Lepisosteus oculatus: one gene and its partners. The protein of the gene in region 3 interacts with the protein of the main gene of each other region in a pairwise test. Links are inferred from orthologs where the notes say so. Each region holds a gene or a part of one and is shown on either strand. Other genes may lie near its edges.

What was found.
Region 1: the proteins of eda (region 3) and leptin receptor overlapping transcript-like 1 interact in binary tests that used the Homo sapiens proteins (3 or more experiments, as listed by UniProt). The two-hybrid records come from large-scale screens. The link is inferred for Lepisosteus oculatus from reciprocal best matches to the Homo sapiens genes EDA and LEPROTL1.
Region 2: the proteins of eda (region 3) and epithelial membrane protein 3 interact in binary tests that used the Homo sapiens proteins (3 or more experiments, as listed by UniProt). The two-hybrid records come from large-scale screens. The link is inferred for Lepisosteus oculatus from reciprocal best matches to the Homo sapiens genes EDA and EMP3.
Region 4: the proteins of eda (region 3) and sec22a interact in binary tests that used the Homo sapiens proteins (3 or more experiments, as listed by UniProt). The two-hybrid records come from large-scale screens. The link is inferred for Lepisosteus oculatus from reciprocal best matches to the Homo sapiens genes EDA and SEC22A.

The regions. Positions count from the first base shown.
Region 1 is NC_090696.1:9,252,495-9,259,739, forward strand, and holds the start of leptin receptor overlapping transcript-like 1, read right to left. Parts: upstream 3,009-7,245; 5' UTR 2,899-3,008; coding exon 2,883-2,898; intron 127-2,882; coding exon 51-126; intron 1-50. Other genes in the region: saraf (store-operated calcium entry-associated regulatory factor), read left to right, coding at 3,925-3,994, 4,554-4,732, 5,846-6,275, 6,783-6,930. UniProt on the Homo sapiens protein: Negatively regulates growth hormone (GH) receptor cell surface expression in liver. May play a role in liver resistance to GH during periods of reduced nutrient availability.
Region 2 is NC_090720.1:12,369,102-12,376,119, forward strand, and holds the start of epithelial membrane protein 3, read right to left. Parts: upstream 3,003-7,018; 5' UTR 2,875-3,002; intron 1-2,874. UniProt on the Homo sapiens protein: Probably involved in cell proliferation and cell-cell interactions.
Region 3 is NC_090703.1:44,535,296-44,542,822, forward strand, and holds the start of eda (ectodysplasin-A), read left to right. Parts: upstream 1-4,511; 5' UTR 4,512-4,666; coding exon 4,667-4,978; intron 4,979-7,527. UniProt on the Homo sapiens protein: Cytokine which is involved in epithelial-mesenchymal signaling during morphogenesis of ectodermal organs. Functions as a ligand activating the DEATH-domain containing receptors EDAR and EDA2R. May also play a role in cell adhesion.
Region 4 is NC_090707.1:4,672,273-4,679,925, reverse strand, and holds the start of sec22a (vesicle-trafficking protein SEC22a), read right to left. Parts: upstream 3,004-7,653; 5' UTR 2,887-3,003; intron 2,735-2,886; exon of another isoform or gene 2,667-2,734; intron 2,393-2,666; exon of another isoform or gene 2,174-2,392; intron 1-2,173. UniProt on the Homo sapiens protein: May be involved in vesicle transport between the ER and the Golgi complex.

The DNA of each region.
Region 1 (7,245 bases), on a different chromosome or scaffold from region 3:
GTGTCAGTCTTTGTCAAGCAGAAAATTCGGTGTAAGGGAACAACACTCACTTGTACACAGGAAGAGCACATCCAAGCATAAGAAACATAAGTCCAATGGCTCCTCCAAAGGACAGGCTAATAAGAGCTGAGAAAGCAAAAAAAAAATAACATCTGAAAAAAATATTGACCAAATCACCATAACCTGATTCGCTGGCATTTGTCAGATTGGCATTGTTATTCTGCAAAATCTCCTTATGACTCGGAACACTATTTTCAGTCCAGTTGTGCAAATCATAACTTGCTATTTATCCTACATGAGCTACTGTGCAGTATGACTTACAGCTTGCTAAATTACAAAATTATTAAGAACTTGATTCTACTCTCTTCATAGGTTAAAACTTTCCACATATATTTAGCTCTTGTATAATTTTAAAGAACCTACAGAACATCAGCTGACTGGAACAAAATTAAGTTAGTACTAGTAAAGGTTCAAATGAGTCACTGTGATTTTTCTGGCAGGAGTAAGTAAAATAAAGCTACAGTATAAAGTACAGTACCAGTCAAAAGTTTGACTACACCTCCTTGAAACCAGGTTTTTCATGATTATCTGTGCTTTAAATTGTATAAACTTGTCTATAAACACCTAATATTTCATTACTGGATATGTGTACTTATAATCTTAAGTGAACTGCACTGAAAATGTTAATTTTTCATTTTCAATAAATGCAACTAGAAGTACAGACGGTTCAACATCAACTGTTCAGAGGAGGTTGTGTGAAGTTTCTGTGATTTTTGGCCCAGACAGGTCTCTTCCTCTTATTCTGCACTCTTAACAATGGTTTAGTCGCAGCAATTCTTCCTGGTAGGCCAGCTTCACGCAATTAGTCGCCAGTTTCACAGACTTGTGACTCTAATGAACATATTCTGTGATTCTGAGGTCACCTTTAGCCTACCTGAACCTTTTCAGTTCTCATGAGTGCCAGTTTCTTCATATCATTTGACAGTCTTGGCCACAGCAGTTACAGACACTTGCAAAATTCTTGCAATTTGTCTTAAAGATTGACCTTCATTTCTTAAAGTAATTATAGACTGTCTTTTTTCCTTGATTGCTGAGCAAATTTTGCCATGTTCATTCAGGAATTACAAACTTTTGCCTATGCCCCCTATATTTATAGTAATCATGGACCCTCACGTGTTTACCAATAATTGGTGACAAAAGGTAAATGAGGTAACATGCTAATTAAGTGTGAGAACATCTAACAAAGACAAATACAGTTTTAAACTTCTTTTAGTTTTCTAAAACCATGTTATACACATTTCTGACTTTAAACTAACCTGGGCTTCGGACTGAAATCTGCTTGCTTTGAGTGCTCATTTTCACTTAAGATTATAAGTAAACATATCATGTAATTAAATATTAAGTGTCTATAGACATGTTTATCCAGTTTAAAGCACAGATAATCATGAAAAACCTGGTTTCAAGCAAGTGTACTCAAACTTTTGACTGGTACTGTACATTCTAAAAATTCTTAGAAAGAATCTGTGATGGAAACTAAGCAAAGAAACTTGAAAGGTGTGACAACAGTGTATAAATAACTTGATTAAGAACAAAATGCAATACACGCAATACAAAATGTGTGGACAATTATAAGGATACCAGGGAAAATCATTCCTGACACATAAAGCTTCTTTGAATATCCAAGCAATTCCATGTATTGGAGTACATTAAATAAACGATTATAACAGCAAACTTCTACAAAATAAAAAGTTCAGGTGTTGCAGTGGATGCTTTATCATTTGTCATCATGGTGAAGGAGCAATCTAACATTTTCTTCGAGATTACAGAATGTAAGAACAGAGAAAATATTAATTGCACAAAATTATAAACTGATCACTTAACTCATAATAATACTTTAAGCAGGCAATTTAAATTATGATTTGCAATGACAATCTAACCAAGATCTAACACGGGTGTGAAAATAGTGCATTCAGCCATTAGCACAGTCCCATACTCCATCCACAGTGAGGATCGTTTTGAGGGTTAGATTAATACCTCATCTCATTAATTCAATAAACCCACATTATACTACAAAATGTATTAAGCAGCTAGTTCACATCTACAAAGTACTCAGTTCCATGATCTCCATGTGATCAATCACACAAAGATCCCTTGTACTGTCGAAGGGTGGCCTCTTGAGTAGCTTGTTTCTATAGTTTTCAAACGATTAAAAACATCGTCAAATTTTCTCTGTTTAAGTATTATTTTAGTACCGTGTTCCTCTTGTTGCAGCAAATTTGATTGTTAAAAATAAAAATGCGATATTAATTGTAAACTGGAATTAAAGCAGTTTCAATTCTAAGTGTATTATAATGACACGGTAACGAAAATATCTAATTCCGTAAACCTGACGAGTTTTTTTTATTAACCGGAACAGGCTTAAATGATAAATATACAATCCACTAAAGTTATTAGCGGTTTTAAATCCTTTACCCATGTGCGGTGTAAACTGTGAAAAACTACGGAGTTCAATATACCGATACGTTGTGCCTTTGTATGATAGCTGTATACATTGTTTTGTTGATCATGCAACGACAAACGGTTGTATCATTTTGTCTGAAAAGCACACGGCTATTTTAATAACAAAAGAAAAAAGCATTAAAACATCCATTAATATAGACTGATATATCAATAATTTTTGAGACTTCCAGGTATTATAAGCTATAAAGACTGAAATCACATTTAATAAGGTGTTGGCCTGTAGAAAAAACCATGAACGAACCGAAGAGGATATGTTGCCAAGCAAGCAGACAGCTGTCATAATCTTTCTATCTATACGCTGTTTTGTTGGGACTGCTTATATTACTGTATCAGAAGATAAGATTCAACGAGTCACTGCTCACCTTTAATCCCAGCCATTTCAGCTCAACATGAAATCTTTCAACAACAGCTGATCCTCAACCTTACACACTTTCGATTCCCAGCAATCTCACCCGGCGCGCATGCTCGACGCCAGACAGACGGATGGTTCCTTGCGCCTAACGGTGCAGCACTCCTTGCGCAGTTAAGATTATTTTCGAGAGACTTTGCAATTATCTAACGGAATGTAGAAAATCGGGTATTTAAAAAGAAGCAATTCTTTCTGAAATGTTTTTTTTTGTGCAATGTTGCAAGATCTGGCTATCTGTATCATCTGCACAGATACAAATCACGTCAAAAGTAACGTGGAAAGTATTATTTTTCCCTAGGAGATATTTGCTCAGACACTTCAAGTATAAAGACCCAATCGAAACGACAGCGCCTGCACTAACTGCGATTATTACAGCAATAGTAAAACATCTAGAGACAGTTTTTTATCCATTGTTTTAGGGGTCGCAATATTTCCCATTAGTGTTGTGTCCATCTCGGTTTTCGGAATAAGAAGCCTAATAAAAGAGTGGGGGATATAACTAGTGTTTGTTTATTATGAGTGATAGGAACATAATTGGTTATTATGGTTATTATTTCGAATAACCAAGAACTACAATCTTTAATAATAGCCTGCTAGTATAATATACTTTGACCTCAACAAAATGGTCGTCTTGAAAAGCTCTCACGCCATCGTATTTATTCCGCGTGATTGGAACAAGCCAATAGAAAAGCCTTAAACTGACAGACATTGTATTGCATGATGAAAACAATCGCAATAATGATCACAGTATTGAAATCATAGCAGTTTTTCTTCTCTTAATAGGTGATAGTCATAGTGGTATCGCAAGGAAGATTTGACATATAGATGTACATATACTTGAGACGTGATATAGTCTCTATATAAAAACAACTTGGTCTACTTTTTAAAATAGTTGTAATATTGCTTTCGATAGGTGAAATACCCCGGAAACGACATTGTTCGATATTTTAGGTTCTCATTTTGTGTTGTTGTTTTTTTTTGTACAGAAAGCAATTATGAAGATATTCGTCGCCATTTTTGTGCTGTTTATTTATACAGGGCGAACTGAGAGTTGGAACGATGGAGGTAAGTTGAAATCTGTGGCTGTTATTTGCAGATCTTTTGCAGGCAGGCTACGTCACATTGTTTTGAAACGGAAACTGTAACTGTTCTATATTGTTTTAATTCCATAGAGCTACCTCAGTGCGTTTAATCTATAACAAGTGATGGGTTTATCACTTGTTTATCTGCACTTAAATTGACGAGTTTGATAGTTATTAGAGTTTTGTATGACTCTGTTAACAAGTATTATAGCACCAGATCCTTACAATATACAACAGTTCCTGTTTGTGCTTAATTGATCCGAGGATCTCATCCAGATATTTCTTGAACGAAGCCAGGATATCAGCTTCAAAACAACAACATGGCTGGATAGGTTCATACACTCAAAACCCTTTCGGTTACAAAGTGCCTCCTATTGTCTGTTTCTTTGATGATTTTGACTACGTTTCCAGAAGGTAGAAAATCGGGATTATGGGGGTCTTAATGGATGATTTTTCAAAATTTGTCAGTAAAATGTATTAATGTGTTCTTGACAAGCTTGTGTTTCAAAGCCATACTGTAAGTGTATCTGGTATGTTTGCAGGGAGTGTTTTGCTTCGAGAGCTTCAGGTGATTACTCTGTACAAAGGACAGTACACCAATTCTCGCAGGACCAGCCCTGTTCCACAGTTACAGTGCATTGGAGGAACTGCTGGTTGTGGCTCTTTCATTCCTGAAGTAGTTCAGTGTCATAACAAAGGATGGGATGGCTTTGATGTTCAGGTATGTGTAACTTGGCTACTTACATATCAAGACAATTCAAAGATGATCATCATCTTTGTAGGAATGTAGAGCTAGACTACACTCATGTAATAAGTCTTTAGAATTTTCAGAGCCTTTTGTGTGAGTAGGAGTCATTATATTCTTATGTAAATGAGGATAATTCTGGATATACTGAAGCCGGTTTTGTAAATTACTAGATGCCATACTATTTCATATTATCATGATGAAATTATGGTATCTATCTTTCAGCATCATACAGATTAAGGGTCTTAACTGCTTTTTGTCATGGGATTCATTTCAACACCATCAACATTCTAGAGTCCAACTTTGTGATGCGGATATGAGCATAACCTCTGTCTTGGCAGCTTAAGATAGATACATTGCTCTGTGTATATATATCTAAAGTACAGAAACCACAACAATAGTACTGTATGTGATTTCTTCAGTCTACAAGTAAATCTGAGTGTCCTCAGCACAACAGTGAAACCCGAGTTCATGATGGCTGATTATTTGACCAAGTGGGAAGGTGCAACTACAAAATAGTAAAGTTCTCAACACAGATCCCTTAGTACCTGGAACAACATCAGATTTAAAATGATCAAGATTGACAAATTGGTTCCTGATCATTAAATATCATGTCATTAAATAAATAAATCATAAATAAAAAGTCAAACCAATAAAGGAAAGTACCTGTAACCCCAGGATAATCTCCATGTAATCCATTAGGATGCCATAATGTGCAGTATCAAGGACATCTCTCAACAAGTCTGAGACAGAAGGAGGACCTTGCTACCTTAAGAGCATCCCTGTAGGGCTTTTCATTTTGCTCATAAGCCTTTGGTTGAACAGGCTTATGATCTTCTACAAGCACATTTGTGTACCAGCAGAATAATAATAATAGTAATAATTGCTTACACTTGTATAGCGCTTTTCTGGACACTCCACTCAAAGCGCTTTACACGTAATGGGGATCTCCTCCACCACCACCAATGTGCAGCATCCACTAGAAGAATGTACAAAACAAATGTTATATGTTTTCATTGGAGCTAGACTATCAAAATGATTTTGTGTTGTGTTTGAATTATTTCTCTTCGTGTCATTTTTATTCTACAGTGGGAGTGTAAAACCGACATGGATTACTCTTATAGATTTGGAAAAATAGAAGTGAGCTGTGAGGGATATAATTATCCAGATGACCCTTATGTGCTGAAGGGTTCCTGTGGGCTGGAGTACACTCTGGAACTGACTGAAGAAGGAAAGCAGAAGGGAAGGAACAGTAGGAGCTTTGGATCTGGGTTTTTTCAGGACTCCTCAAGCAATGTGAATTATCAGGGCTCTGGAGGTGATGTCAGTGGATTAATGGTGGTTGCTGTTTTGTTGCTCTTGGCCTATGGTGTATATAAGATGTTCTTGTGTGGGCCACACGGACAAGGACACCAGCGTTTCCCTGATGCAGACTTTTCCAACGCCAACACCGATGGCCACTTCACTGATGGTAACACAATGGGCCCATCTCCTCCGGGATTTAAGTCATACTACACAGGTACCTGAGGAGTTCACTTCTCCTGGATAACAAATATTTTCCTTTGTAACTTGTGAGGAATCTTGCACGTGGAAATTTTCCAAGGCTTATGTTTAATATTATTTTTCCCACTAGAGGTTTCCTGGTTATTCTCAACAAGGTCAAAGCAGTACTGAGGTATAGTGTAAATTTGGAAAAGGAAGGAAATGTTCAGAGTTGTATAAAATGTCGATGGATCTCAATGCAGGAAACGTATATGGGTTAGGATTTAAAGTTTAATTTTTAAAATGTTTTTTTCCTGAATTTTCTGCTTGTTATGTATTTGTTTGATATATATGTTCATTTAAATATTAAGCATTGTATGATAAACATTAATTGGAGCAATATATTGGTCAGTAAAATCTAATTGGAATGTTGCTCAATGAAATCTTCAGTTCATTGTACTTTTCTTGTATGTTGCTTTTATAAAAATGTTGGTTTATTTAAAATCCCTCCAATAACAAGCCTGATTTTTTCTCCTTTTTTTAGGAGAGTCACCAGGTTATGAGAGTGCCAGAGATAGTTATGGATTTAAAAACACTTTCACAAGACCTCACCAAAAGCCTGCTTCGGGGCCTGGATTTTGGACTGGAATGGGCACAGGAGGTGTATTAGGATATTTATTTGGAAGTCAGAGGTGAGTTTTTAATGTTTTAATGGAACTATTTTCAAGAAGCCTAGTTCTTATACTGTAGATGTATCAGTGTTAATTTTAGTCATCATAGGGAGCAACGAGGTACTGTATAAATCTAGGACTAAATATGAGCCATTTAGGTGCGATGTTCTGTCGCACCTACATTTTGTTTTCAAACAATTAATCCTCGAGCTTGAAAACAACCGTGTCTGGTCATGGCCCGAAAACGTAGAAACAAACGTATAAAACGCACACAAAAAACGTGTACTCAATTACGGAACGTAGTTGTATATGAGTCTTTAGAATAAATGACAGGTT
Region 2 (7,018 bases), on a different chromosome or scaffold from region 3:
AGGCACAGAGCTCAGGATGTCGGGATGAAAGCCTAAGCCCTCAGGCTATCTCCAAGCCTGGTGCTGGACGGGCTTTCGGACGTCCATCTTGCAGAGACGCAGGGCTTATATAACGCAGAAGGGGATAGACACAGCTGGGAGTACTAAAACTAAAATCAATAGCAAAAAGCTAGGAGCACCCTCTAGAGGAGGGATGATAACCATGACACTGGGGAATTTGGCCCTGGTGTGAGTCTGCTGTATTTGTCTGTCTGCCCTACAATAGACTGCATCCTGTCCAGGGTGTTTTCCCCTATGCACCCAGAGCTTCTGGGATAGACTCTGGGACATCGTGACCCTGATTCGGATAAGTGCTTATTGAAAGTGATTTGATCATGTCCAAGAAAAACATTGGTTGCAACAAGCTGGTTTGAATGTGATCCCGGTTCTGTCTATTGTGCAGGTTTAACTAAATGACTGTCGCACAACAGATGGTCCGGAAGAGTTGCTTCATAGCTCCTGAGATCTGGGTTTAAATCTGGCTCTGTCTGTGTGGAGTTTGCATGTTCTCCTCAGGTTTTATGAGGTATTCCTGGGGTATTTGTGGGTATCCCTGTTTCTCTCACAGTTCAAAGACATGATTTTCCAGTGGCGTTTCTGATTTGCTCACCTGCAATGGAGCAAATGATTTGCAATGGACTGGTGTCCATCCAGGGTGCCAGACACACCTTATGCCCTGTCCCCCTCACCGTGACCCACTTAAGCAGGGGATCCTAATTTTGCTCCTGGGGTACCACTGTATTTTCAGCTTTTTGTTCTAGTTGAGATGGTATTCGCAGGTTAAATGATTGCAGTTTCTGAAGCTTACCTCTATAATTGTGTTCAGTACCTACAATGTTAGGCTTGTGAATGTAATTAATCAATTACAGTGAATGAGACTGGGAATATGTAAACACCATCAACCCTAATTGGGCTGGTTTCTGATGATCAGATTTCCCCTGATTCAGGCAAGTTACCTGAAATGTATCCAGTTGGACTACTGGAGAAGTGGAGAAACAAACGTGGATTTTGGGACTGTCAAAATTGTCATTCCCAACTTAAGTATGTCTGTTCATCACAAATTGATTATCTTTAGTCAGAATTAATTCCAGGAGCAATCGTTTCGAAGCAAGTAGAAAAATGACCACTGAAAGACCTGCATGTTGAGAAGCTATAAGCGATATGATTTTCCAAAAGTTTAACAGGTTTAACACACATCTGTTAAATGAAGTTGAACTAGGTAACTGTGTCAGCTTGCGTAGGCTGCAAAGAAACAAGTAAGGGTTTATTCTATGCTGAAAAGAGAAGAAAAGGAACACAACGTTTCGGGTGTGGAGCCTTCTTCTTCACACTCCCGAAGAAGGCTCCACAGTTGAAACTGTGTGTTTCTTTTCTTCTCTTTTCACCATAGAATAAACCCTTACTTGTTCCTTTAAAGTGAGCAATTATCCCCAGTAATTAAAGAGGTCAACTGGAATTAACACCAGCAGACACAGTGATCCATTATAACCAGGACTGGGATTCCCTTCCTAAGAATAAAATGATTTTCAAAATTAGACTGAATGGAGTTCTCCACAAAACCTACTGTCCTTTCAGAAGCTGTTGGTACTATTCCGTACTGTAGGTTAACTAAACCTGTTTGCAGTATATATGTGAAGTAGACGCATACTGTACATCCCCCATCACAAAACCTAAAATTTCATAGTTAGATATGTCACATTCCAGACCTATGACTCCTGCAGAGGTTTTCCTCAGTTATGTACAGCACCAAGTGATAAACACAGGGGATTTGTTAATTTTTTGAATGATACCTAGTGTTACCACTTAGGTATATCAAAATGATACAATGCACAGGAGTTCAGACATTCAGGAAAAAATTCACTAGCAGATCCCCTGTTGTCTTGTGAAATGGGGTGAAGGCACAAAAACCTTCTAACAACCTTGCTAGTTTTAAGAGATCCCTCAGCCACACACGTACACACCCAGAAACACACATACTACAATACACACGATAATTCTTCCACGAGCAAGTACAGAATGCAGACTCATGACAGAGGCTCTGGAGTCATTCGAAGAAATTAAAAATCAGAAAGGAAAAAATTGATAAAAAATGTTGGAAATGAAAATCCTGGAAGATACCTTCATCTAGAAGTGGATTGATAATGACTGGAAATGAGGATGATGTTGATGATTATGATGAAGATGTAAATGACCATTGATGTGATCTCCTAAAACTAGGCTTTGTGGGGTTATTTCTCCTATTCAATCGATAATATTACTGACTTCTTCCTAAATTACAGACCTTGAAAATCCCTACAGTCTCCACTTTCCCTGAGTTTTGAAGACGCATGCATGAAGAAGACTTCCACATTCAATAACTGCAGATTTAATCCTGAGGCACCTGATTTGGGGACAGAGCATCACACAGATACACAATTTCTCCATTCATCTTTCTCACATTGCTGCCATTCAACAAGACCAGGCACATACAGGACAGCAGTCTGAAGGACACACACTGCCTGAGATGTCGTCTCATCCCAACAGCCTGAAAAGAACAGCCATATTCAACAAACAGCAAGGTAGGAGAGATCCCTAACACAAGCAGCTGACTGCTTTCAGCCTTGCACACAGTAACATTACCAGGAATAAACACAAATGAAAGTTCCTTTTCCTTAATAAAAACGGAGAGGGAAAGTTCTGTGAAAGTGAACAACATGGTGAACTACGTTAACTAGTTTCTAAACTTAATGGACATACAGAGAACAGCCATCAGCCAGAAAAAGGGGCTAAGTTACAGTTAACCAGCGTTCAACAGCTACAGAAAGCCTTTCACATTTAAGAATAACAACACCTCACCTTTTCAACTGCAGTTCCCAGGACAACAAGTACTGTACGGTGAATGAGGAGTCAGAGTTGTATGAAGAAAACTCCTCTCTCCACCCTCTTATCCTTCTCTTACCCATCACTCCCCCACCCCCTTTTTTCTCCCACCCCCTCTACTTCCAGAGAAAAGGGAGGAGAAAACTGAGGAGTGTTTTTTAGAAGGACGTTTTCAACGCCCATTTCCTTTCTCCAGAAGCCCTCTCTGCCTTCCCCCCACCAACACACACACACACACTCTCTGAGTTCCTCAGCCAGGTCCAAATGTAAAACTGCAGCATGACTCAACTAGACCCGCCCAAGGTCTGCCACCACATGAAAAGGTCACATAAACATTCGTAGCAGCCCAGCTCGCTCAGCTTCCAGCCAGCAGAGGAGAAACATCTGCTGGGCAACTGCGTTCCTGAAGAGCAGGCTGTGTGGAGACGCGGCCCAGGCCTCTGGAAAAGAAGGGAGAGCAGAAAAGGAGAAAAGAGAAAGTCTAGTTTTTCTCTCTTCCTGCACCATTGCTGGGCTCCCTGGTTTTGTTGTGCATTATTTCTGTCAGGTTTCTACATTTTCTCTTGCTTTTTATGCCCCACCCACACCCTCCTCCTCCTCCATCATTTTTTTTATGTTCCTAAATTATACTCTCCCCATCTGGAGTTACCAAAATGACATTTCCGCCAACGCCCCTGTGCCACGTGGGGGAGAGCCCTACTGAAAAACCCTCTCGTCAGGCTGTGCCTTCATGGAGAGGCCTGTCTGACGGTCTACAGTGTCTTATAGGACAGTTATTGTTGCTAGGAGGGCCGGTGTGTCTTTCACACATCGCAGAAAAAAAATAAAATAATTGTTTACACTTACGTAGCGGTTTTCTGGACACTGCGCTCAAAGCGCTTTACAGATAATGAGGACTCCCCTCAACCACCACCAGTGTGCAGCCCCACCTGGATGATGCGACAGCAGCCATAGTGTCCCAGAATGCTCCCCACACACCAGCTCTCAGTGGGGAGGAGAACAGAGTGTTGGAGCCAGTTCAGAGATGGAGATTATTAGGAGGCCATGATTGGTAAAGGCCAATGGGAAATTTGGCCAGGATGCTGGGGTTACACCCCTACTCTTTTCGAGAAACGCCCTGGGATTCTTAATGACCACGGAGAGTTAGGACCTTGGTTTTACGTCTCATCCGAAGGACGGCGCCTGTTTACAGTATAGTGTCCCTGTCACTATACTGGGGCATTAGGACCCACATGGACCTCAAGGTCCTCACTAACCTCTTTCCAGCAGCAAAATTTCTAAATGAATACAATTTTGGTGATGAAAAACAAAAGCTTTTCAGAATATTCTTGAGTACACAGTATCCGCAAACAACCTGTGGCATTAAAGGCAAGATATCACCAATAACACTGAAAACTCGACATTACCCGACCAGTTGCAGGACTGTCTCTAGCAGTGCAAATCTGAGGACACCCTGGCCAGCTCCTGCAGAATCTGACTACTTGAGCACTGTTTGAGAGTCAAGGTCACAGAGTGATGGCCTATAATAAGCACAGGTAGGAACTGGTGATATCTGGTCTGTTAGGCCCAGCTTTTGCATCAAACAGGAGCCTTTGCTTTACAAGGTATTCTTTTTTAAATTTTGTTAACCTTGATTTCCATTCATCCTGTCTGTTTTCATAATACTTTTAATGTTGAGCACATCACCCACAGTGCAGCAGAAATCGTAAGGAAAGCAATTGGAACACTTTAAAGAAATAATTTTTCAATTTTTTGTCTGTCTTTGTCTTTGGAAAACTGTAAAAATGAAATGTATAAAAATATATATAATATAAAATGCAGTTGTACGAATATGAATTGCCAGGCAATTTAGGATTACAAAAATAATAACTTTAATAGGAAAAGGATTTAGAGAATGAAAAACTGACTCACCCTCTGAAAAAACTGACTCTGTCTTTCTGTAAACTTGGCAGTTTTAAGATTTCTCGTGGTGCCAGTCTCTTCCCCTGCTTTAATGAGAACCTGAAAACAGCCCATGTTTTCTCAAAAAGATGAAAAGTTGAAAATCGATTATAGTTAAAAGTATCAAACATAGTACGACAGAGCATTAAAAAACTAGTGCCTATTGCTGCCTTAATAGCTAAGAAAAGAAAGGTTTGATAATCCTAAATTAAACTTAAAACACTTTCAAAACAGAAACAACTTATGAGAATAAAGATTTCCATCTGATGACTGTTGTGACAGAAGGGACACCTATAGCATCACATAGTGGTAACAAAGTTGTCATTTTGGTGCATGCGTGGCCAGTAGCTCTGGCCAGTTCCACCTCAGTCGCTGTTTTATGCTCAGTCAGTCTTCAGTTATCACAAGGAGAAAGAAAGATCAGCAGCAAATAAAAAATAATTCAGTCCTACTGAGCAAAATCTTACGTGTGGTGGATGTTTCCAACAGCGAGTGAATTTCAGAAAGAAGTGGATGACCTCAGTGGGGCTAGGTGTTTTTTAAAAAGAATATAGAAAAAATATTGTACCTTCAAGGTAGGGAGAGAAGAAATATTAGACAAGCCTTCACTAGAGACTGTAAGGACCAAGTACAGATTAATTTCACCCTGCAATGTACTGTAGAAGGCCGACTCCAGGTGTAAGATAAGATCACTTTATTGGCCATATATAATTTCTTGCATTAGGAATTTGTCTCTATGAGACACACAGACAGGGAGAGAGAAGCTTGGGGTCAGAGCGCAGGGTCAGCCATTTATACAGCGCCCCTGGAGCAGTTGGGGTTAAGGGCCTTGCTCAGGGGCCCAACAAAGGAGGATTCCTCTGCCAGCCACAGGATACAAACCGGGAACCTTCCAGCCACAGGTGCAGATCCTTAGCCACAGAGCCACCGCACCACCCGAAGGTGGGAGACTTCTTGGGGTGCAAATGTCACCTAGCTCCCTTCATGAACCAAAGCTTTTCGTCAGCTGACTAGATGGATTACAGTAAAGAGATGGTCCACTATTGTAAAGAACAATGCTTCATTCATTATCATAAAGCTAGTTATTCTTGTTCATGGTCACTGTTGCGGTCCTCAGTTGGAGAGTTTTTTTCCCCCTTATTGTTTTCTCCTTTTTCTCCAGGCGCTGCCAATTACTATATTAAGCAAATGAGGCAGAAACATTTCAAAGGGGAAAATGAGGCTGCAAAAGGGAAGACCCATCTGGGATGGTGAATGAGGTTAGTTGAGTGGAGTGTTTTAGGGATGGGGGAAAGACATGTTGTGTGCTTTTCTGTTTTTGCTTTTGGTTTGGGTAGGTTATTAGTGTAGATATGGGTATGACGCGGAAGACTTTTTTTTTTGGTACGACCGCATTGTTAAGCACAACCACCTTTTTTTCCAGTTCTAGCTTATCTAGTTGTTGTTTTTTTAGTCAGTTAGTTTGTTGGGGTTTTGTTTTCCTTTTGGTCTTTCCTCTCCCAGTTGGAATACAGATGTGCACCTCTGCCTCCCTGGGGTTTTTTTTGGAAACATAAAGTTGATTTGTTTTCTCGGGGAAGTCCGATCTCTCAGGCATTCTTTTGTGTTGCGACTTTTGGTGGGACCCTAGACGTATTTTTTAAGGTCATAACAGTCACAATAACACAGAGGCACTGAGTACAAGGTGGGATCGCACTCTGGACAGACTGCAGGCAAAGACAGAGGGACGATTCAGGGGCAGTGACTAACTTATCCAGGGCGTCTTTGGAAACCAAAGCAGCTGTCGAAATTCCACAGGACTGTGGGGAGAACTCCGCACAGAAGGCTCCCCAGTCCAGAATCATCCCCGGACAAACTGTAGGGCAGCCGCACTAATCATCACAGCACTGCGATTATTCAACCATTAACACAGAATTCTTGCCTTTAGGTTCTCAGTGAAAAGCTTTGTTTTTGCAGACATGTCTTACCATAATCTGTGTGGAGTTTGTTCGCTCACCCTGTGTTTGTGTGGGTTTTCTCCCACAGTCCAAAGACATACTGGAAAGTTAATAGATTTATAGGAAAATCGGGCCTGGTGTGAGAGTGTGTGTGCCCTGTGATATACAGTACTGGTGATATACTGGTGTCCCATCCAGGGTGTAGCCTGCTTTGCCCCCTTTGCTTACTGGGAAAGGCACCA
Region 3 (7,527 bases):
TGGGATGAAGAGTCATTTTACTGCCCTACACACTTGTGAATATTACTTTTTGTGTGTAAGGTGATTGCACCCATTCACTGTAATGGTATTTGCATTTATTTAAAAAGGAGTTCCATAGAATATGTGCAACTCACCCAATGATGATAATGTTCTTCTTTGTCTTCTTGTGCCTGTATTTTTAGTAGCATGAACTAACACCTGTATTGACTAAGCTAACTTTATTCTATTCATTCTGCTAATGATTCCAGCAACTGAGTTCCTATTTTAAAACTATTATATCTCTGTTTATGTAGGATTAATATCTGTTACCTTGGGCCTAAAAATATAAAGTGTTGAATCTAATGATTTCTGAGCTTTTTTGTGTTTTCATGTTTGTAAGAGAGGGAAATAGTAGATTTTACATGCGTGGGTGCACGCCAATTATACTAAACATGCCCAGCAAGATAGAACCATTTTAAAATAGTGTCCAATGTAATGAACAGCAAGACTCAATTTAAACATTTCTGGTGAGAAAACAATTGATTTTCCAATGACCAAAGCTTTAGCCTAGCAGCTATCCGGTTGCAATCTTTTTATTGTTGAATGGGATAAAGAGGTATTTCTTAACATTCCCACCTCACAGCACTGGGTCCCTGGGTTCCATTCCTGGGATACTGTGTGGAGTTTGTTTTTGTGAATTCCCTTCAGGTGCTCCAGTTTCCTCCCATAGTCCAAAGGCATAATGGTAGGTTAATTGGCTTATGGGAAAACTGGCCCTGGTGTGCATGTGAGTGCATGTCTCTGCGTGCCCTATGATGAACAGTTTTATTTAATCATACAGTATATTATATGGGTGTTTCAGTTATATAATGGAGTCAATGCATTATAATTTTTTTTTGCTGTCACCTCAACATGAGGTCTTAAATAGTGCTTCTCTTCTGGTTTGGGAAAAATGATAGAATGAAGCAATATTTCATACATCAGTATGTATTAAACACTTCAGATTTATTGATTTATGATTGTCATGTATTCTTAAGAACAGCCTCAACATTACAGCTTCGGCAGTCAGGATGCAACTAGGAATGAGATGCTACTGTCACTGGTCTAAAGCATAAATTCATATATTAAGAATAAGAGAGAGTAATAATACTTTATACAGTCACTGTATACAGAAATACAGTAGACTTTATACAATAACACCACATATTACAACTTAACTACCGCACTCTACAGCTTAACTTTGAGATAACAACTCAAAATACTTGTTAATAATGGTATAATAATTGTTGCTATGGACAGTCACTTTAAGTATAATGACATAAACTCATGTCATTCCTTATTTTGAACTGAAAATGAAACTGATGATTAGTCAGTTTAACATGCAAAACTAACAAACAAAAGGAAACAGAAAAAGATCAGTAACAATAATATAACACTGGTATGTTGTAATATTTATGATTACCAGGCCATTTTGGCAGATAGTTTTGCAACTGATTTTAACTATGGACAAGATCCAGAGATACTTTTTGTTTGTTTTTAAACAGGAAACATCAAAAACGGAACATTAAAATGGAATAACCAAAGATTTAATTTAGAACTTAATATACTGTAACAGGTTTGTTGCTTTTGAAACTGTAGGGATTGTCTTAAAAGCAAGGACCTTAAGTCTTTAACTGAATTGAGCAATACTTAAATGCATTTAAAAGTTCTTTTAAGCAGATAGTCACGCAATGAACAGATTAGATCGTTCATACCACTATTGCCCATTATACTGTATGTAGGTGAATTGTCATATATTGTACATGTATAAAACAACAAACAAATAAATAAATGCTAACTATACTGTACATGTATATTGCATATTCCTTTTTTTAAGTCAGTCTTGGCTGCTTGAATGTTTATTGGGATACATATGTAAGAATTATGTTGTTATGCCTTTTATTTTAATGTTTTAAAGATGTAAATTACCATATGTACTTAAGAGTGCATCTTCTTCCACTGTGTTGGTGTGGGTCCAGATCTTTTCTGAAAGCTTGAAAGCTGTTATATTACAACACAGAAATACACTCTCTCCAACTTCAAAAAGAAGTTTAATGCAGCACATGCAAACTGTATTTCAGACCTTATAAAATGTAGGTTGGCAAATTAATGTCTAGCATACAATCCCAGCAAATGTTTTTTGAAGAGAGCCATGATTGTGGGGGACTAGAGTTTTACTCAGGATTTATCTCTTCTGATTGCACCACATCAAGGTTTTCCTAGTTGTTAACAAAGTTATTATGGACAAACCCTCTGGCTTTTCCTTTGTGGTGTAAAGCATTTAAACTGAGGTACAGGTGCTGGAATTATATACTAAGTATTGAATGCATGTTTGAAATATTTAACATGGGAATAATTAGGCTTAGACATTCCTTGTAACTCAAAGGTTGCCAAAGATTCCCATACTTCCATCAGGCTAACTAGTAGTACATTGAGCATGTTAAAATAAGGTTAGAGCTGCACAGACCTAATTATTTGAATGAAGATCTACTATTTATTCTGTGCATTCAAACTGTGCATATATTATTTAGGGAAATCCATTCTAGTAACATAAATTAAGTTTTACTAAAGTTTAGCTTTTTAAGGATTGCATATCAAATCCATACTAACAGTAAAGAAAGAGATCCAAAGATACAAGAAGTTTAGGAGCATTCAGAATGGAAAACATTTTTACATTGAATTGTAGGAAGCTGACTAGAACTACCTCTCTTAGCATGTTGTTAAACCTGATCCATGGTATCCTTTAAGAAATGGCATCTTGGAATTCTTGGATCATTACGCTACTAGCAACCAAGAATGGCAGCATGGCTTCCTTTCATTTGTAACTATTCTTTTGTAACTTCAGTGCTTGGGAGAACAATTGCTTGGTAATGTACTAGATTCGCAAAAAAAAGTATTGGGAATTATTATTATCGTTTGTTCCATTTCCTTTGATAGAATAATTAAATTTAAGGAATTTTAAAAGAAAGTTAAGAAGTCTTACTGTTCTCAAAAGAATTGATCTTTAATAGACCTTTTTTAAATTGCTTTCAAGTGAAATACACTAAAAGATGACAAGGAAAATGCATGTTTTCCAAGCATTTGCGTGAAGTCTCACACTAGTAGATGTGTCATCTCCAGATGTTTAGTCTATTTTGAGATTTTTTTATACCATCAGACAGCCTCTGCGCTCCTTAATTAAAATGCATGTGTCATATGTTCTTGCTTTTATTTTATAAAGTACTTGCAAAGTCTTTTGGTGATAATTTTGGTGCATAATTACTAACTTGTACAAGTTTCAAACACAGCAAGTATTAAAGCTAAAGAAAAAGACCCTACTTAATCTTTGAGCTCAGTGAAGGGAAAACACACAAAAAGTTTCCTGTTGTGTAAAAATAAATTTTAATTATAACAGTATAAATCATTTCAGTCATGTATAGATCTGGATTTAGATGTGAAGAAGCATTCCAATAACGTTAATTAAAGTTTTGAGATGGAAAGTAAGTCAACTTTGATCATTTAATTTTGATCAGCAAATCAAATAAATGTGATCTGAAGAACATATAAGTTACTAAATGTGAACATTTAAAAAAAGCAGCTATGTTTTGTAACAGGGAGCCATGTACAGTAGGAGTAACTAGGAATATGTTACATGAGTAGGTGATATTCTTTAATAAACAGCTGTATAATATGGATCTCCGTGTAAAGGATTTTCATGCTTTCTCCTACAGAGTACTCAGTAATAAACAGTAGTCAACTAAAGTTTTTTAAGCTTTCATAAAAGTTGCCAACGTTATGATGTAGGGTATATTAATGCATAATTTAAAGGTAAGACAGTAAGAGATTAATCAAAATTTTAATTCCCTAGCTTTCTCAAAATAATAGCCACATTTGAACTACAGCGTAAATTTAGAAGAATTATTACACGCCCCCCTCACTTTGCTTTATTTATTGTAATTGTAATATGAGATATATTCTATAAACGGATTACACTTGATGGAGAACTTTCAAAATACAACTGCGATTTGAAATTTTCCAGAGCACGCTTACTGTTTTGTCAGGTTTATAAAATGTATCTTTTTTTATATATATAAAATTACGTTTGTATATCAAATCGCCACGTGCATTTCATCACCGCCCAATAACTCTTTGCAGCAAACGTGCTTGATTCACAATAGCAAGTGCTTCCTGCTTTGCCTGAACCTTTCTTTGCTTTTCCCGAGGTCAGCACTTCAGCAGTTCTCTGCTTTAGACACCATGTCAGTTAACAAATTGCGTGAGTAACAATATGAACTTCATGGGCAAAGTTCTTCGAGTAATCCATAATGAATGACGTGACCTTTTGTATACCCTTTCATAAGCAGCAACTACTCCACATGAAAAGAAAGCATATGAAAGAAGGAAGAGAGGAGGGAAAATGGGTTGTGTTCTGCCTCCGTTACGTATCCAGTCCCCAATCAGAAACGCTAAAGGCGGATCCTAAAACCGGATTGTTACTAGTGATTGACGCGGTTTGCTAGTTTGGTTACTTATTCTGATCAAGGAAAAAGATCAGAGGAGTGGTTTTCATGTGGGCTTCTGCTTCAAAGTTACTGATCAGTAGTGGATCAGACCCCAGAAAGCAGCTGATTATGCTGAAATAGCACTACCTGTTTCTATTTACAAAAAAATGGCATCTAAAGGTTTAACAGAAAATGTTGCAAACTTAGAGGAGAAAGCACTGAAACCTGAACTTCCTACAACCTGCATGTGCAGGAAACAATGTAACAACTGTAAGATTTTCCTGGGATTCTTCGTATTGTCCCTCTCGTTGCATTTGATCACACTTTTCTGCTATCTGGATCTCAGATCTGAAGTGAAACGCGAGCTTTCACAGAAAAACAGAGATGAAATTGTGACGCCGGGTGCAACTGACTTAAATGAACCGCTTTCCCCTGAATACCATCTTTTGGACATCAGCTACCCTACAATGGACCAAGAGGTAATCGCAATAACACTATTTGTTTATAAACCGGCATCTGTACGATGAAAGCGATAAAGCTGTATCTAAAATAAGAGCGTCTAGAAATCGTAAGAAGAACATTGTGGTCCACCGCAGTTTATTTTTCTTCAACTAGAGCGTCAGTCAAGCATTTTATTTAAGGATCAGTTTGATCGTTTGTAACGACTGTGATTGGTTGCGTAAAACTATATCCAGTCACATTTGGTTTTTTTTAAAAAAAAGGGGATGCCGGTTTTGTTAATATATCACATTTATGAAATGCACAGATTATTTAATAGAAATTAATCGCTTTGAAGCACAAATGTTTTCTGTGAAGAGTAGGTTTATAACAGCTTCCGTTCTGTTAAACCGCGATCTCTCTTCATCCTGCTAGGTAAAAGGTAAGTTAAAATTCTTTGCCGAAGGGCTAAGGTTTCGAAATCGACAATGATATGGCGCTCCAACAATTAGATTTAAAAGTAACAAAGATAAGACAAGTACTGTATTTTAGTTTTTTTTTACTTTTTTTTGATTCGAGAAATTAAAACGTCTTTCTGCGTCCACCATACCATTCTGTGGTTAAAGTTACTCCTCAACTTGTGCCAATGTGAAATGATGTATTGAGAACAGTAGGATTTGTGAATTTAGAATACAATACCGGTACACATGTTCCTGAAATGCAAATTTATACATTTGGAACTGGAACAGCTGCTGTTATACGGTGGAGGGGGGAAAAAGAGAAAACAGAAGTTTGTAGACTTAACTGGCCTTTTACACATGAGCTTTTTATGACTGAACGTTTTTTACATAGTTTTGAGGGGTTTGTTCCTAGAACCCTCATATACTGCTGCATGCACTGATGAAGTTTACCCTACCTGGTTCAGATATTACTGAAATAGTGGCTAACTTTAGGTTACTTCGGTATCCCCTTCGCCATGTGAAGAGCTATAGTTGAACTAATGAAATAAAAAAAAATATGTATCCAAGCTCAACATGAAAGTTTCAGAAACAGTATGTAATGTTCTACAACAGTGCTGCACTACAGAGATGATCCCATTGGTATACGTACCTTCCCGCTCTGGAAATGTTTAGCTCTCAAATGAGACAAGTCAGATAACAGGTACTGTTTGCTTTGACGGAGAGTTACTGTGTCAGTGATGTATTAGCTGTTGAAGATTTATAGTTGGTGCCAGATTTCATGCAAAAGAGCAAGTCTATGTATCCCATGCCTTTAAAAGATTTGCCCATTTACAGTAGAGCACTTTTAACTACAGCACATGAATAGCATAGCTTACTTGTTGACTTTGTATTAAAGGCTAATGTTAAGTTACTGGGGACTACATTTATGAATGTGTCATATGCAATACCTTTGTCACGCCCTTGAATATATTGTACCCTGAAGCTACAGTGGTTAACATTTAGAGGAGATTAACCTGTGCTTAAATTGTGAAAAATTAGAGAAGTAAGTAAGCAGTGAGTAGTGAGAAGTATTTGATTTGGAACCTCTAGAAAAACTAAATGAAGCACTACTAAAATAGAAAATATGGCAAGTAGACGAGCACATAAACTGGCTTAAGCAAATCCTTTTTTTAGACATTTGATTTACTGCTAACATGTGTATCTGATTTTCTTTAGTGTAACTTTCTATGTGAAAAAATTGGGGTCATAAAACAGGTGTTTTGTGAGTGCCTGTCCACAGGAAGATTTCAGATTTACAATATGTGCTAATTGCAATACAATTAATCTTGCATTTCTGAGTGAACAATCAATCTTTCAGAAATACAAGACATGCAAGTACATCATTTGTGCATTTTACTTGCATATTTTCCTGTGATATTGCTAATTAACACAGCTTTTTGCAGCTGCTTTCATAGGAGATTAAAATTGTATTTGTAAGACGTTGACTGATACCAATGGTAGCATCAAGAAACATTTGCAGTAGTAAATCTTTTTCACACTATGGGGTTCTCTTGATCTACCATGAACAGATGACTCTGAAGCTGCAATAAATCCATCACATATATGTGCAAGAGAGTGTGTAAAATTTAAATCTCTTTTTCCCATTACTCATATTTGACAGGTGAAAATGCAGCCATCCCAGAGCACAAAACTCACTTGCACATATAAAAGCTTATTATTAAGTGAGCTTTATAGCTATAAACCACAAAGTCTGGGAGTACTGCATAGATATAAGTGTATGAAGAGCATCTCCAGCTGTTTTAAATAATGTTTGCTAAATACTGTGATGTGTGCTGAGCTCTTTAAAGCAGATGACAGTCGAATAATAAGGCTTGGTCCTTGCTGAGAACAGTTCAAGTGACTTGAACATACTTGTTCAGACTGGCAGCCACAGATGAACTTTAGATGCCTGGAGAGATTCAAGCATGCCATTTGCATATGGCACACAGAAATTCCACTCTATCCCAAAAGATTAACAAGGTACTTCAGTATTTACTTGTTTGGCATATTATAATCTCTTGTTTTAAAATAAAAATAAAGCATTCCAGCTGTTACTGGAATTCTAACATAAATTTCTCTGTTAGATTAAA
Region 4 (7,653 bases), on a different chromosome or scaffold from region 3:
CAAACATTTTATTTCTTCATCCTGTTTTTTAGGTTCAAACATGATTTGCCTTTACGTAAGAAAAAGAGAAAACGACGGACTGAAGTAAAAGCACAGGCTATACACTTTATTCAATATCAAGAAGGCTGCAATAACCTTTGCTGCTGTTAACCTAACTGTAGGCTAAATGGATTTGAAGACACACTTCCAATATAATAAGAATAACTGTCTCCCGACTAGCCAAGAAAGTACATTTCAATGAAGCAGATTCAATCAAGCCTAGCAATACATGAACATTCACATTACAAGATTAAAGTACAACGCACAAGCACAAAATATCTTTCGGGAAGAAAAGTGATATACAAACGCCAGCGGTTATTTTTCATTCTAAGAGTCTGCACCGAACCTAGAATACCGTTTTGCAAAAAAAAAAAAAGAAACGAGAGCCTGTGACATTATTACAAGTCAGAGCTTGGAGAGGGGGTTGGAACAGCACCTTCCGAGCTGAACAACCCTGTAAAATGCAGGGCAGCTGGAGGAGCCCGAACCCATTAGACTAACCACCACCCTGTGGGATGACATTAAAAGAAACCCGACCTGCCGAGGGAAGAAAGAGTTTTACACATTCACGCTTGGATTTCTGCACCCTTGTGGTCTTCCCATTGACTCTTAAGTCCATTTTTGTTTCCCAGTCTATAACCCCCCAGAATGAAACTCGTCGCGGGGTGAAGGCAGACACGAAACAAACCGTTTTGATACCAGCAGGTATAAAACACCTGCTCTCCAGCCCTCTTCTCAGGAACTCCTCGCTCCTTCAGATACAGTCCAACAAATACACCATTATCTGCACACGTGTATGTCTGTTTTTATTCTTGTACGTGCAGGAATTTATTTTGATTTGTTTTACATAATGAAAGGTGGATTATAATTAATCCACATGCCATTCATAAAAAAATATATTTTGTTGCTAAAAAAGGGTCATTCATATTGTGGCGACCTTCTGGAAATAATCGAACCCCTGACAAACAGATAACAGCCATGAGACTTTTTCTCAAGGTTTGCCCTCCCACTAACAGTAATACAACCCCACACACGCAGGACGTTGGCTCCAACACATCTGTTAATTAAAAGCTATTGCCACTTGATTTCTGATTGCAGAATGGAAAGCACCTGACAACGAATTAAGAAGACATTTAAGACAATCCCACTCCAGTCAAAAGGCAACTGAATCCAAGCTTCCCCTTCAAAACAAATATCTCCAAGCACCGCGAGGATGAACAGAGGTTAACTCGTCCTCCCGGGAGCACTTGCCAAACACAAAACTGCAAGCATCGGGGAAAAAAGGGATCACAAAGTGCCTGGCGGGAATGAGAATAAAGCATTCCTTAAATGCCTGCCAATCACGCTGCAACCTAAGAATAAAAGAAAACCTGTGTGGCACAGACAGGATAAGACAGTACTGTAAGTAAATGCCTACCCACTTTTCTTGCATCTCATTTCCTATGTCCTATGGACATTACCGGCCTGCTTGTCAAGCTGTTCTCCACAATCAATACGCTTGGTTGAGAAACCAGGACTGACTGTAAAATGACTGTAAGACACAAATACTTTCAGGGTAGGACATCAAGGAATGATGACCCCGGCAATATAGCAGTCTGTTCAATGTATTGCTTATTTCCGCAATTATCCTGATGGAATACTGCACTTCATCAAGAAGATGTCTTCGCTGCGGATCGTTAGTCTGATCGGGGCCCTGGGAAAATCTGTAACCCTGGAGAGCTTCTGAAAGAGAGTCCCGGCGCCCTGCAGGTAACGTCCTAGCACGGCCACACCGAGAACACACCACCGTGAGCCGGCGGCCGTGGAGCCCGCGGAACCGCAACGCCAGGCACGGATGAAATAAAACCGCAAGGCTGAGTTTTGTGGGGAGCTCTTCAGCGGTGCGTCGTGAAAGGGCTCATCAAACAGCCGTGCCAACGTCTGCAGAACGAGTGTGCGCGACCACAGCTCTCGACAGGCAGGGCAGGCGCGGACATCGCCGGGCACTCCGCACGCCTTTACAGGCGAAATGAAAACGGGGAAATAAGGGTTTCATCTAATGCTCACGGAAGCTGTGGTTGGGGGTGTGAAAAAAAATGGCCTTAACACCTTAACATTTCATTTCTGAAAACTCAAGACTGCTTGTAACGCTTACCATAGGGACAGCATGAACTAACACAAAACCACTTCTCCGCGTTATTGATGTGAAGGCGATCATTAGGGGCGACGCCTGGATGGCTGAGTTGCAAGAAGATTAATTTACTGTAACAAATCCGTTTTTACACCCATCGTCCTCTTTTACCGACATTTATAATTTTGCATCATGGGCATAATTCGCCACAGCAACGCCTTACGATACGCAGGTTTACCTGACGAAGGCAGTCGACAGGCATACCGAGTCACAGGACAAACCTCAGATCCCCGCTGACAAACAGCTGGACTGGACGTAGCCTGCAGCTGTAACGGTATCGCCTTTCTAAAATAAAATCGACTCTCGGCAGCAAGACATAAGGGAACCGAATTCCATAAATTAAAAAAAAAACATGAATGCATTTCTGTAATAGCTTTAGTAACGAGCGTAACATTAACAGATCAAATGCACTCGTCTCCCTCAATCCCCGAACCCGCCTCCCTCTATACCCACTTACTGCAGTGCAGTCATTCCTGGGAACGGCCATCTGATGAAAAAGAGATAGACCTTAAATGTTATTTTTTTCAGTTCCCTGGCAGAAACACAGCGCTCGGAAAGAGATCTCTAAAATCAAGAGGCTTTTCTCGCCGCCGGGTTTATTAAACTCCGCGCAAAGAAGCAGGCCCACGAGCGACAAACCGTGCAAAAGCGTGAGTGAATTTCATCAGTATGCTGACCTGAAACGGACCATGCGTTAAACGGCTGCTGATGAAAAGCCTTTTCGCGAAATTCTTTTTTTTTTTCTCCCCGAGTCACATTTCATCCATGTTCGCCTTCCTCATTCAACGGCGGGGCGAATATGTTTACGTGGCCCCTTCGCGTTGCATTGTGGGTGCCCGGCCGCGGCTCACGCTGCGCCTCGCGCCTGTGTGCTTCACCTGCACAGGTTAGTAAAATCAGCGCTACTGATGTTTGCTCGTTTTTTTTTTTTTTTTTTTTAGATGAGTAAGTAGGCCTAAGTGATAAATATTAAATATTTGCATCAACTGAAATCAAGTAATAGAGCATAAAAAAACACTAACAAAGTCTACAAACCCGAGATGAATCGGTTTAACAAATAATTTAACTCAATGTCCTGGACATCGTTCCTTTGTACAGGAATGTGTAGCTAAGCTGCTATTATTACACGGGAGCTGAAGGGTTGGTTGCAGTTTACTAGTGATTTTTTTTCTCCCAAGAGTGTCTTAAAGGATTGCTGTGCAGCCTTGCAGTCACCTCTCAGAAAAAAATATCCCAGTGATCATTCCTGCAGGTTATTTGAGATTCACAGGGGACACAGAGGGGATCATGGGCAAGATACAGTCACTGACGTATTTGGCTAACAACTTTATTGAAAGCAGCTTTCATGGATGCCCATTTATACAGCTGGGTGTTTTACTGGAGCAGTCTGAGGTCGGAGGCCACAGCAGCAGGGTTCCAGCTGGGATTTGAACCCACGGCCCTACAGTTACAAGTCCAAAGGCCTAAAGACGGTTCCCCACGTGGACGGATTGAGAGAAAAAGGAAATGATGCTAACAGAGAGATATTCTTCTTGGGAGCAGCAGTGATAACTGCATATATCGGAGACGCAGAGCCCGTTATTCTGACATGAGGCAGGGTGAAGGCAGCCATAAATAAGAAAGGCTGCAAGAGACAGGAAGAAGGCAGAGCTACAGGATGAAGTGGAAAGAATAACCCTGAGCCTGTTCTAGGTCCTTTCTGAGTACTGACCCCAGTGCTAGTTTGATGTGCCCTAGGGTACAGTCTCCCAGCAGGACGTAGGTTTGTGACCTGCTTGTCTGTTACAAAAACACTGAGCTTTATTAACTACAGGCTGTCAGACTCCTCTTCAGACTTCCAGTCCATTCCACAACCCTGTTTGTTCAGTCCAATATTTTGATTAACTGGAATACAATTCACCATTCTACAAACAACTCTTTCACACCTTTAAGCAATGTATCTGGTCATGTTTTAAAATGTTTAAGCACACCAACCCAAACCCATAATTGAGATCTGAAGTCCAGGAGTTGAGTATGACACACTTGACCGACCATTGAGGATGTGGCTTCTGTCGCAGGGAGACTGCAAAGGTATTTTCATTATAAGCCAAGATACAGTACTTGTCATTTCACTCTCAAGAAGGGAATAACATGGTCTTCCTTCATAGGGCAGTGGGCACTGGAATATCACAATGAGCTACAGGGTCAGTGACTGACAGAAGATGGTGACTTTGTTAATAGGAGCAGCATGGAACAGTCATTACTGTTTTACCACCAGGTGTGACACAAAAGAAAGTCAAGGTAGGGTATTACCTTCTCTCTTTATAAAAATAAATTGTGAAGTCAGGGGAAACTACAATCTAACCATATGTAATAGTAGCTGAGCTGCATATTGATCAAAGGAAGTGCCTTAAACAGAACCTAGCAGAGTATGTGTTAATACTCTAGAGCTGCAGGCGGTTTTCAATAAAGTTTTAGACTGCTATAGAGTAGTAGTAACGAGTAACGTGAGAATGCAATGGGTAACCACTATTGAAAAGAAAGAATAAGAAAGTTGGCAATAAACTATTACATTATCTCATTAACCACTTGAATTTCTCACCCTCAGGCAAGCAGGCGACCTTAGTGCATAGAAAGCAGAAACTGGCTTCCAGAATGTGCAGTTCCAGATTCATTTTAATTAGTGCAAGTGATTTCTTACCATTCTGAAGTTTAGAGAAGGCCTCAAACAAGTTTAGAGCACATCATACAATTTTAAACTTTGTTTATGAAAACAAATTATGAATATGTTTTGCTACTAAAAGTAGACAATCCAGCTGAAAAATATTAATTATACCAAAGTACAGAACCCTTGTGAACCCAGAGGCAAAAGTTAAATTCTGCTCTCATTATTAGAGGCGTACTAAAAGACTGTATATATTTTTGGTTTCCCCTTCAGGAGCAACTTAATTATTAATGAGATGACTGATTTTTAATGATGAAATAATGCTTTGATAGGGGTCTTGTGAAACTCAGTTTCCAATTTACTAGTTATCTCTGGATGAACTGAATCCTGCAGCCTCTATTTCACTTGCTAAATCATTTTCACACAATGATTTGCATTTTTCAATATTCCTTTTCAATAGGATTCTGGTTGGAGTAAGTAGTATGATCGATGCAGATGAGCCTTTTTAAAAAGAAACTGCAATGTACACAACCAATGAAGCATAAGAAAATATTATGACTGTAAGGGACAAGATGCGTGAACATTTCTGAGAGAGTTACTGGAGGCATCCAACAGCACAGGCTGTAAGGGGTTTCTCTCATCTCCTGGTTCTCCTTTACTGAACTTGAATTAACCCGTCTAAAGGGTGTTATTTACTCTGGCAATTGGATATCAAATTCAGTTGGTCTGAACTTCATCAAGAGGAAACAAGACAAATGGGTCTTTTTCAAAGCCTTGTATTTGAAAGAGTCTCTTTGGGTGACTTTTAGTATAAAATATTGAAGATCTAGACTTACACTGAAGTTTTACAGAAGATCACTTTTATTCTATATTTGGTTAATCTTAGAATTTCCTGTCCCAGAATGGTACTAATGAGTTCCTGGAGATCTCCTTCCTCAGATAATGAGGTGCTTTGCATGCTGGTGGTGATAACAGTTAATGTTTCTCTGTGGTGTTCTGACAAAATAACTATGAATCAAGGAAATGTTCTTGATGAAATTCTGTCAAGTTAAGCCGATGCTATATTATCATTCATTGTGTCCTTATCTTGTTACTAACTATATTCAGTCACTAACTGGATTGAATCTTTACTGTATTCATATTCATTATTTCTGCATACGCATTTACCTCTTGTTTATTCCCATGACGACTATTATAATTTTAGTAGTTCAAGATGAACTGCGATTTGATCGTAAATGTTAAAAAAAGTCTTCCTGAAGTGTTTCTGATGCACCATAAAATCTGTCAGGAAAGGTCGTGTTTTTTTTTAAAGAAATTGCTGTCATCTCCCAGGACACGCTCCATAAAACAGTCTGGAATTATGAGGGTAACCTTGAGGCTCTTGAACCAAAAATATTTCTGAACCACGCAAATGCACCATACTCTGGGAATTAACCAGGCGTGCCATTCAAGTCATCATAAATCCTTACTTGGAAAGGTGGCAAGCAAACTGCAGTCATATAGTAGATAAAATGTATTTTCCCTGCTGCCTAAACTTTTCAAAATAAGCTGATGCAGTTTGGTAAAGGTCAATATCTATGCCTGACATTACTTAGAGACAAGAAGTACAAAAGGCATTTTAATGCAACAGATCACTCTTCTGTCTCTACGGAAGGAGCTGAAATCTTATGAACCCCTGAATATTTCATTTCTTGGAAAAACTGTTGGGCCGGGTCAAAGAACCATTTAAGTCTGATATTGTGCAGAACTATATTTTCCAGGTTGTACCAGAAATAATGACTTTAAATGACAGCCTGAAAGTGTCGTGCTCTATAGAAATAAAACTTTATATGAATCTTTCTGCAATGGATATCCAGTAATTTAGTAATGATCTTGAGAAACATAAGAGAAAATGTTTTAATTTTTGTTTGATAACCTCTATAAAGGCCAGAATTTTTTTTATTTGACTTGTTACATTGGCAAATTGTTTTTGTGAGGTGGTTTCTGTTTTTCAATTATACTGTTTATTCTTATTTAAAAAAAATAAAAACTGTTTCACAAAACATTTATTTTTTCATTTTATTTGATTGAATTCCCTTACTCAGATTGCAAGAAAACTGAGCATAGTAGATTCACTAAACATGCATATTGCACAAGCTTTAGTATTCTGCTCTAAACACTGTTATACCACAGTGATAACCATCTCCTTTTTAGCAACACTCTGAGCACTAACAGAAACAACCAAAGCAATCGCCCAATTTTTCTTAACAGAAACGTAGACAATTTGATCAAGCAGAGTGACTGTGAGGGTAAACAAAACCCATTTATTTGTTGATGTGCAGATTGGTAAGTTAAATTAATCATTTTTATCGGTATAGGTGTCACAGTTCATTTGAGAGTTTTACGCAGCACATTGGAATTTAAAGTACAAGCGCAACTGACCCCAGAATCACGCTGCAGGTTAGAGTGATCAATTAATGTTAAAATCTCTCTCTCTTGTCTTTGCTCAGTAATCATTATCCTGCAGAAAATACCACTGTCTAATTGCCAGATCTACAAACACTGAGTGTTGTTAGGTAGCAAGCAATTCCAGGATACATTTGAGCAGATTTCAAAAACAATACCTTACAATATTAACACTGTAAATATCTGCTGTACTGCATGCACATGTGAATGGCTTTCTAGGAGGTTAAATATGAGATGGATGTAAGAAGTGGGTTTCTTGACAACTCTCGGATGTGCACAGATCTGATCGGATGAATTGCCTCACACATTATACCAGTTCATGCCACAGGGAAGGGTCAGACAAACTGTTACACAT